3 linked regions of the Coturnix japonica genome follow. The protein of the gene in region 2 interacts with the protein of the main gene of each other region in a pairwise test. Links are inferred from orthologs where the notes say so. Each region holds a gene or a part of one and is shown on either strand. Other genes may lie near its edges.

Region 1 (3,757 bases), on a different chromosome or scaffold from region 2:
TCCCACTCTGACTGCCAGGAGACGTTTTGTTCTCCTCATCCTGAAGCACCAAAACCCACTGATTTCTTCCCCATACACAATCCTACATCAACACCTACTCCCCAAGCACCCCACTCTCTGACACCAGGCCACTTAAAGCTCAGTTCCTGCACAGGGCTAAAGCAGCTTTGGAGCTGTGATGGTGTGAATGGCTCAGTTCTCATCCCAGCAAGGAGAAAAGGCCGCTGTACCTCCCAGCAGCCCCAGGCACACAGCCTGCCCTCCATCATTCAGCACATCCAGTGCTCTGATTCTCGCTCAAACTCCATCACATGCCAAGATACTGACACGGAGACAGGAAGCCGAACATAAACACGCCGCCTGCTTTACTGAACATTCAGAGAAACAAAGCTAAAAATATGGATTTCTCGGAGTCTCTGGACAGAGGGAAAAGAGAAAGAGCTGTACCGGAGCTCCGAGGGCTTCTGCCATTCCCTCTGCTCTTTGCAGTGTTCTCATCAGCAGCACAGAGTGAAAGCTTTCCCTTCACAACACAAGGACTTTCTGGTCTCCCTCCCTTCCATAGCCCTCACAGCTTATTGTGGAGAACAGAAATAAGGGGTTTTCAGAGGGGACCACAGTGCTGAGCGCTGTACGAACACTCAGGTCTGGAAAAAACTGGGTCTCATTGTGTAACATGACAAAACGCAGCAAACAGCTGCAGGATCCCAGCAGTGATTAACTCGGAGCAAATCCCGAGAGCCACCAAACATCTGCAGCTTCAATTTCCCAAGAAATGGCAAGTCTGCAACTACTTCCCAGAGCTGGGGAACTCGCTTTCTGCTTTCATTAAAGCCAATGAATGCTTTACTACTGATCCCTATCTCGGCCCTTCACAGCAAGCACCTTCCTTCTGCCCCCAGAAGATGGCTCATGCCATAACCTTTGCTCCAGCACAGGGATGAAGCGAGAAAGCTGGTGGTGAGGATTTCTGGGGCCACACCAAGAGCTTCCAGAGCAATAAGAGTTTGCTTTTGTAACACAGCCTCATCAGAAGATGCCATATCAGGACCTGGGCAGGAAACTTGTTCCAATGTGGAAGAGCTGCGGTGCGGGGCAGCTCCCCGGTGGGCTCCGTGTTTCCAGAGCTATGGTGGGCCTGCATCTCCCACAGCTCCACGGCACACAGCAGCTTCTCATGGGCTGGGCTGAAATATTCTGAACATCCCGAGGAACGCAGCGTGAGAAATGGACTTTCAGTGCTCATGAGAGTAAAGCTGCCTACACAGCCACACAGTATCTGAAACAAAGTACCTGAAACACAACACAACTTGCTTTAACCTACGATGAGATGGAGAGATGGTTCCAAGCACTGCAGGAGCCCTCAGTGCCTCTCTTAACACCAATGCTTTGATAGCAGGTAAATCACAGAATGGCCTGGGTTGAAAAGGACCACGATGATCATCCCGTTTCAACCCCCCGCTATGCACAAGGTCACCTCTCACAAACCAAAGTGGTCCCATTGCTGTGCCATGACACGGCTCCGGGCTCACCAGCTGCTGCCCATTAGAATTCATTTGCCACTTTGGCACTCGATTAAGGATAGCCTAAATTACCGCCATACATCCAACGCAAGGCTGAAATACGGGATTGGGAAGTCATTAACTACATCCTAATCCCTTAATCGCATTCGGTGGTACCGCAGCAGCACAACATCGTACCGCCACCCCATTACTTACTCACCTCATTTTACTTCTAAACGAATTCCCAACCAAGACAGACTCAAACCAGCCCCTTACGGCCGCCCCGCAGCCCGCACAGTGTCCGGCCGACCAAGCGCCCCTCGCTCGGTGCCGGGTGCTGTCGGCGCTCACCCCCTCGTGCCGCTGCCCCCATCTCAGGGCCCGGCCACGGCCTCGCGCAGCTCCAGGGCCGCGCTCCGGTTCCGGGCACCGCACGACACGACACCGGGTCGAGGCCGAGGCCGCGTCCCCGCAGCGCCACGTGCCGGCCCGCACAGCCCCGCAGGCCGCGAGGCGCTGCCCGGCGGGAGCGGCCCTCTCCCTCCGCCGAGATGGAGCGGCCGCCGCCCGGCGGGGCTCGGCCCGAACCGCCGGGATCTGCCCGCCGGGGAGGCCCCGCTGCCCGCACAGCCCGGCGCTCAGCCCGCCGCCCCTCGGCCCGTCCCGCCCCGCAACCCCGGAACGGCGCAACCGGGGGAAAGCCGGGAGAAATGAGATACAAAAAGAACCGGCCCGACAGCGGCCGGACGGCTCCGAACTCGGCCCCGAGCGCCGCGACCACCGCCGCCCGTTCCGGGCCCACCCCCCGCCCGGCCCGCAGCCCCCGGCCCGCACTCACCGCCGCCGCCCGCTGCCGTCTCCAGGGGCGACCGCCCCGCGCTCCGCCCTCCTCCTCCTCCTCCTCCTCCTCCTCCTCCTCCTCCGCCCGCTCTCGCCCCGCCCGGCCCCGACCCGACCCAACCCGGCCCGGCGGCCCCCGGAGGCCTCGTGCTGCCGGCCCGGCCCTGCGCCGCCACGGGGCCCTGCCGAGCGGCGGGTCCTGGTGGCCCTCGTGTCTCAGGAAGGAGCGCTGTAGCCTCCTCCTCCCGCCTCCCCCTTTGTCCCGTAGCGGTGCTGTCCGAGGGGCGATGCTCCTGGGGGCAGAGCTGCCGCTGTGCCCGAGGGCGGCCGGGCTGGGTGCGGGCAGCAATGGCTTCGTGTAACGAGCCGCACCGCGCGGCTGAGCAGGGCTCACAGCCCGGGATGTGGCACCCAGGGAGGTGGGCATGGGCTGGGATGGGAGCTGGGAGCTCCAACCAGCATGGTGGTAATGTGGTTCAGTTCAAACTTCAGAGTAGTGCTGTAAGATGGATAATCCTGGTTGCAGAAGCGCTGAGCAGGAGCGCGCTCAGTGTTATAAACTTACACAGTGCCCACAGTCGATGAGAGCAGGATGGGAGGGGACGAATGGACAATGCCCCCAAACCACGGCAGGCCACGGCGGGCTGCAGTGGAAGCTCATCTGCACACACCCGTCCCTGGCTCCTCCGTGATTCCATCGCCAGCGCAGCCCCACGGGGCTCCAGCGCTGCCGTGTTGCGTCACAGATCCGGTCTCTCCGGTTCCCCCGGTGTGTCCCGGTGCTGCTCGGAGCTTTGCATGTGATTTACATCAGCGCTGCAGCGTGGCAGGCCTGGCTGCTGTCAGGGCTCGTCCTGCATCCCGTCCTGCTGCAGCTTGCACGGGGTGTTGCTGCAGCCCGGAGCTGCTGCAGTTTGCAGTCAGGCCCAGCAGCCTGCAGTGAGCTCAGGGGGGCTGGGATTGTGCCAGGACGACTTTGTGACGTTTGAGGAGCACACAAACAGCTGAGGCTCCATTCGTGCCCTGTGCTCCCCCTCTGCCCATTTTTAGCACTGTTTCTCATTATCACCACGGTTCTTCAGACTTCTGACGATGACAAGAACCCCAGCTTTACACGGTGCTTTTTTTCCCCCCATGTTAGTGTAGAAGTGGCTGATTTTGTTTGGAGTCAGCTGTTTTTTGAAGGCCGCCGTTTGAATTGTGATGTAAAAAAGCCAGAGGGGGGAAAATGACACAGAGAACTACGGCAAGGAACGGAACTTTGGGAATCGCTACTTAGAAAGGAAGTTTTGCTCCATCTCCACCAGCGGCTCCCAGGAAGCAACGCCCTCTCGTGGGCTCCAGCAGCAGCTCCTGCAATTCATTGATGGTCTCGGCTTAATGAACCATTGCTGCCTCCTGGGGCCTGGGCTGGC
Region 2 (3,198 bases):
TCCTCTTCTGTGATATAAATTCCATGCAAAAGGTGTACTGGGTTTGTACTATGCATAACATGGCCATGTTCCTTGAAGTATGCTTTGGGAAGATGGTTATCATCCAATGACTTATTTCCTCTTAATTTTATTGCCTTTGTAGCACGTATGTAGTAGAAATGATGCTATAGGAGAGGATGCTACCTATCACAATACAATAATAAAATTCAAGCAAATCCTAATGTAGAAGTTAAACTTGTGACTTTCACAAAGATCAGTGTTGTTTTAATTGTTTTAACCTTGGTTGCTGAAAAGAGTATTTTGATTTTGAGTTTAGAGCCTATGGACATGCCTTAATCAGCTGAAATCGAATCAATATTTTCACACAGTTTAGTTTTGCTAATAACTCTCCCAGTGACTGCAATTAGAAGACTGATGTATCAGAAAGGCCTGTGTGAGGATTGCTTAGTGCCACAATTTCCTAGCAAGTTGGGTGTGCAAAAAAGGTTTGTGTTTGTATGGCTCTTACATTGTGTTTTGAAAGACTGTGAAAGCATCTTATTTGTAAATATCCATCATGTAAATGCAGTTAAATCACGATAACAGTTTTGTTTTAATTGACTTTTATTTTTAAAAATACAATGTGCAGTGTAACGTTGACTAAATGTAATACTGACACTGTCGATCAGAACTGTACTTCACACAATGATCAGCTAGTCATGCAATAAAATGTGTACCTGTTATGAAGCACTCCCACTTCAACTGTTTTATCATTGTCTCTTTGACATTGCACAAATCCTTGTACTTTAAAAAACATCCTCTACGTCTGTAGTCTTTCTACATACTTGACAGCACATGCTAGACACATAACTCAAGAACACTGAGGTGAGACCACAGCCTTATTGAAATTGAATGCTGTTTGCCACTGATTTCAATAGGCTAGGGACTTCACCCTGAATATCCATCTATGAATTTATTGCCTGTGGCCACTGTAATCCTTGAACTGTATCACTTGCTCATAACTTAAATCAAATGTTTAAACTGGAATATTTAGTGGAGGAAAAAAAAAAAGTGTATTATGTCAGTAACACCCAAATGGCTTTACAGCTCAGGTTTTGCATTAGTTTTGGTTAGCTATAGAAACCTTAAACACCGTCCCTGCTATAGTAGTGTTTCCAAAGTTGTTTTCCCTCTATACTTGTAGGGTTTGAAATTCATAAGAAGGTTAAGTGATGTTAATAGTACAGCAAAACACAGAAGGGCAAAGCTAGTTTTGTGTGTTTCAGGTTATAAACTGCAAGCACAGCATTCTTCCTCTCTTCCCTGTTTCTTATTCTGAGTTTTAGATATCCTTTCCACATTCAGGGCAGAGGATGTCATCCCTTTCTGTAAGGAAGCCACGACCTACTAGTGAGAGAGAACACTTCTTACAATTAAAGCAATCATTGTGCCACTGCCGCTCTTCGAATGAGATGTACTTGGTTCCTCCGAGACCTGTTTGAAAACAGAAGATCTGTTATCAGAAGAGAAGAGCCATTACATGGTGCTACTTCAGATTCTACTTCTGGATGGCTGTGGGCATCTGACATTGTAGTGAGAAAATACTGTTGTATCAAATATTTTTCTGTTTGTTGCTATGTAAATATTGTCACCTTATTCTTGAACAAGTAGGGTTTTCATCGTTAAGTAGTTCTGCTGCTTTTATAGCTGAGTTAGCTGAGTTAACAGGAGAGAGAATGGTTCGGAATCAACTCAGATCTGCAGTCTTGGTGTTAAATGCTGATTAATTCAGATATGGGATTTTTTTTTTAAGAGTATTTCAAATGTAGAGAATAACTGCTTACAGCTTTAGAGTACTGTTATACTGGAAAGCAGTATGTAAAAGCATTGAGATTCTCAGTCACTGTCCTGAAAAATCAGGGAAGAAATATGCTGCAGTGTTAGGTGTACGCTGGTTAAATGTTGCTGGCTGAGAGACTTTTGTTACTGAAGTCAGTGTTCCCCCTCATGAGCACAAATGACTTAAAGGACATGGCTGCATCCCACCACATGCATAAATGTCACTGTGTGTCCACTGTGTTTCATACAAGTCAGGTGAAATGGAATAAACTTCAGTTTAAGGACTTCTTTCACGTCTTTTTGTTATGCACTTGGATGGCATCATAAGTATTTAAGTTCACGGTTCCTGAACTGTGTAGTATCTCTGTTCTCTCAAGCTAGTAAGAATGAATTGCTGAACCCTTATTAATATTAGATGCAGTTCAATGGAGAAAACAAAAATAAAGTGACTCGCCATGAGAGACCTACCACTGATTGGGTTTGTGCATCCAGCACACTTCTTGGCGTAGAGATTGCAGAAGCAATTCAGGCAATATGCAAACTCATCCCGGGAGGTAAAGCGTTGCCCAGACAGCTGAGTTTTACATCCGGTACACACAAAGCACTCCTTATGCCAAGGCTGCTCCCGGTAAGTCACACCTCCTGTAGTGATAGCCTGTTTGATGGAAAGTAAGACAGAAAGTGTTTTTTCTGAGAGTGGCAGATTTTCATCTTCATTTGGTAGAGAGGAAGGTTGATGAGGTTTTTGTGGGTAGGAGGAGGGAAAGAAGACTGATCATGTTATTTGGATTTAACCTTGAGAAGAGCCTGCAAGTGATTCATTGTAATTTCCCAATTTATACAGAGGAGGCCTATACTAAAGATACTTTATTTTCTGAATTCTTTATAAATTTTTTTATTTATAAATTACCCTCTTTATTTTTAAAACTGGACTTTGTAGGTCATTTTTCCATATTCATGTGCTATGAGGTGTACATCTCTGCTTGTTCACCCGTCCCATTCTTCATAATGGAAAAGCCACCTTCAATTCCTGCTAATTCCTTTGACAGCAACTGCTTTATTTCAAATTTTACCTGAAATCTTTGCTGTCTGCTTCTATGGAATTTGGGCTTTTTCCTCTTATGGGATGATGTTCTCTGATGTTAGACAAAGGAAACGTTTCTTGGTCTTGTAACTGTTCTGAGAAAGCTTTAAAATAAATCCGTTTAATTTTTCTTCCTGTCTTCGCTAAAGGGGGATTCCCTGGGAAGTCAGTCTTGTGGTGTGCTGTCTAATATGTGTATTCATCTGTCTTTACCTCTTTCCTCTGTATGAGGGCTGCTGTGAAAGTAATGCGAACTGGGGCACGTGGTGAACACAAAAGGAAGTTCTGGTAATCAT
Region 3 (2,389 bases), on a different chromosome or scaffold from region 2:
CTCTATCTCTGCGTTCTTTGTTGTGTACTTTGGGTTTTCTACCAGGTCCAGTCCTTTATGGCTGCCAAGACTTATCTCAGGCCTCGAGCTGTTAGCTCTTGCTCTCTGTAGGGCTGTTCTCCCAGGTCCTGTTGATTTGTCGTATTACTGGCTTTCTGACAAACTGTCTCCTGCCGTCTTTATTTGCAGGCTAATGGAAGTGCTAAGAAAGCTGGTGGGGACTATAAGGCTACTTCCCCCACCCTCCCTGCTTCTAAGATCCCTGCCTTTTCTCCCACTTCTGGGAAAAGCAGCTCTGCCCCCGCTCCCAGCAGTGACGGCCCTAACCCCCTTACCCCATCCGCAAAGCCCTCCGTGCCCCCCTCTGGCCTCCTCGGGCCCCAGGCAGGCCGCATGGCGTACTCGGCCTCCCTGATCCCCTCTGTCGCTAATGGCTCCTCCAAGTTCCAGAGCCCACCCTACGCCGCGAAGGGCCACCAGCTCTCCTTCTCGCTGCAGACTCAGAACGGCCGCCCGCCCCCTCCTTCCTCCTCCACCTCCCCCCCATCCTCCACCTCTCCCACCTCACTGAACCAAGGTGTGAAGAGCATCAGGACCATCCACACTCCCAGCTTCACCAGCTACAAGGCGCAGAATGGAAATGCCGGCAAGTCCGCCTCCCCCGCGGCCAAGGAGCCGGCCTAGAGGCTGCGTGCTGGATTGCCACTCCTTCCCTGCAGCCACTGTTCTAACCAGGGAGCATAACCATTTTGCTGTATCGCTGGAGGCTTAATACTAACCATGTGCTAAATACTGAGTTACTACACTAGAGTAGAGTGAAGCTTTTTTGTAAACCTGTTGCTGTTGTCATGATAGAAGAGCGTTTTCCCTCTGTAGGCAGCACCTCATGGTGGTGGTGTGTGGGTGTGAGCCGGGCGCTGAGCATGGCTACACGTGTGGCTGGCGTTTAGTAAGAGGTTTTGTATAAAGCTATTTTTCATTACGGGGACTAGACATGAACAGAGATAGATATACTGCAGTGTGATTATACACAACTGTAAAACTGAAATATTCCTCTTTTATTTTGGTGTTATTTAGCTTTGTTACAGATTTCTATTTTTGTCAACCAATGCCACGGTTCGTTTCGAGATCTTTTTGCCAAAATATTTTGATATTATCCTATAATGTACATTTGAAAGCAGTATGCTGGACAGTAAACCTCTGCACCACAGACAGACAGAACAAGACTGGTCTCAGTGCACAGGAGGCAACTCAACCTATTGCACTGCCGTTCAGAGTCTATTTAAGAATTCACCAAGCAGAGAAAAAAACCCACAAATAATAGTTTGACACACACAGGGAGTTGCCGATGATTATTTTCTTTCTTTCTGAGCTAAATTCACCCTCCTCCTTCAGCTTTCTTTTACTGGGACCTGGTAACCCATCGATGTACTGCATTGTGGATTTTAAAATGTACACTTCTGTACTGTTCTGTATACTGGCAAACTTTTTGTACATACCTATAAATAGATATAAATAAATAAATGCTGTATGTGGCTGGGCACTTGGCGTAGTTTGACCACACCAAAGTTAATTTTTATGCATGCTTTCAAAATATCTATGGGGCAGGGCTGAAACAGGTGGGTCACGGTCACACAGGAGGAAAAGCAGCAAGTTTGCAGAGCTCATGGTTTTGTAAATAAATTTATTGTATAACAAACACCCTGATGTAATATACAGAACTATGATAAGCAAAGATCTTTACAGAAATAAAGGGCTGCATGCTTATGTTTTCTACTTTGTCACTAATATTTTTTCTGGTGGTCACAAGCAGGGCTGTTTGTTTGCCTTAAAGAAAGAGGGAAACTACCAGGAAAAAAACAAAAACAAAAACAAAAACAAAAAAAAAACCGCTACCCTGATTTTCCCCAGGTTAAAGCCATAAGTAAGGATCAGTTTCAAAATGGAGTCTTTTTAATTAACTCAGACAAGAGTGAATTGCTTGGCTGCCGGGTTGGTTAAAAAGGCAGCAAGAAAAAAGGGGAGCACCAGAGTCTTGGGACTGATGAAATGAGGGATGGTCTGACCTCCCTGCTCTGCTTTGTTCCTTACAGGGGAGCAAGAGTTTTCTTGAAACTCATTTCAAGGCTGAGCCCTCAGAGGGTGCATCCCTTGCAGTGGAAACAACTCAGTATGCAAACATCAACTCGTACCTCACTGACAGGAACAGACTCGTGTTCTGGCAGTGCTTGTGCTGGTCCCCTGTGAAGGGGACATTTCTGCAGGCTGAGAGCCCAGCACTGTCCAGGAGCTGCAAAGCCAAATCGAAGCGCAGCACAACTCACAGCACTCTGAGTGTGGTGCTGGGCTCCAGCCATCTCCCAGCCTCTGCAGGACAGCTGTGGGCCCA

What was found.
Region 1: the proteins of FHL2 (region 2) and GNG12 interact in binary tests that used the Homo sapiens proteins (3 or more experiments, as listed by UniProt). The link is inferred for Coturnix japonica from reciprocal best matches to the Homo sapiens genes FHL2 and GNG12.
Region 3: the proteins of FHL2 (region 2) and KIAA1217 interact in binary tests that used the Homo sapiens proteins (3 or more experiments, as listed by UniProt). The two-hybrid records come from large-scale screens. The link is inferred for Coturnix japonica from reciprocal best matches to the Homo sapiens genes FHL2 and KIAA1217.

What each region holds. Positions count from the first base shown.
Region 1 is NC_029523.1:25,873,718-25,877,474, forward strand, and holds the start of GNG12 (guanine nucleotide-binding protein G(I)/G(S)/G(O) subunit gamma-12), read right to left. Parts: upstream 2,396-3,757; 5' UTR 2,341-2,395; intron 2,241-2,340; exon of another isoform or gene 2,222-2,240; intron 1,874-2,221; exon of another isoform or gene 1,854-1,873; intron 1,744-1,853; exon of another isoform or gene 1,723-1,743; intron 1-1,722. UniProt on the Homo sapiens protein: Guanine nucleotide-binding proteins (G proteins) are involved as a modulator or transducer in various transmembrane signaling systems.
Region 2 is NC_029516.1:121,878,702-121,881,899, forward strand, and holds the end of FHL2 (four and a half LIM domains protein 2), read right to left. Parts: intron 2,474-3,198; coding exon 2,287-2,473; intron 1,474-2,286; coding exon 1,322-1,473; 3' UTR 586-1,321; downstream 1-585. UniProt on the Homo sapiens protein: May function as a molecular transmitter linking various signaling pathways to transcriptional regulation. Negatively regulates the transcriptional repressor E4F1 and may function in cell growth.
Region 3 is NC_029517.1:15,320,119-15,322,507, reverse strand, and holds the end of KIAA1217 (sickle tail protein homolog), read left to right. Parts: intron 1-189; coding exon 190-684; 3' UTR 685-1,776; downstream 1,777-2,389. UniProt on the Homo sapiens protein: Required for normal development of intervertebral disks.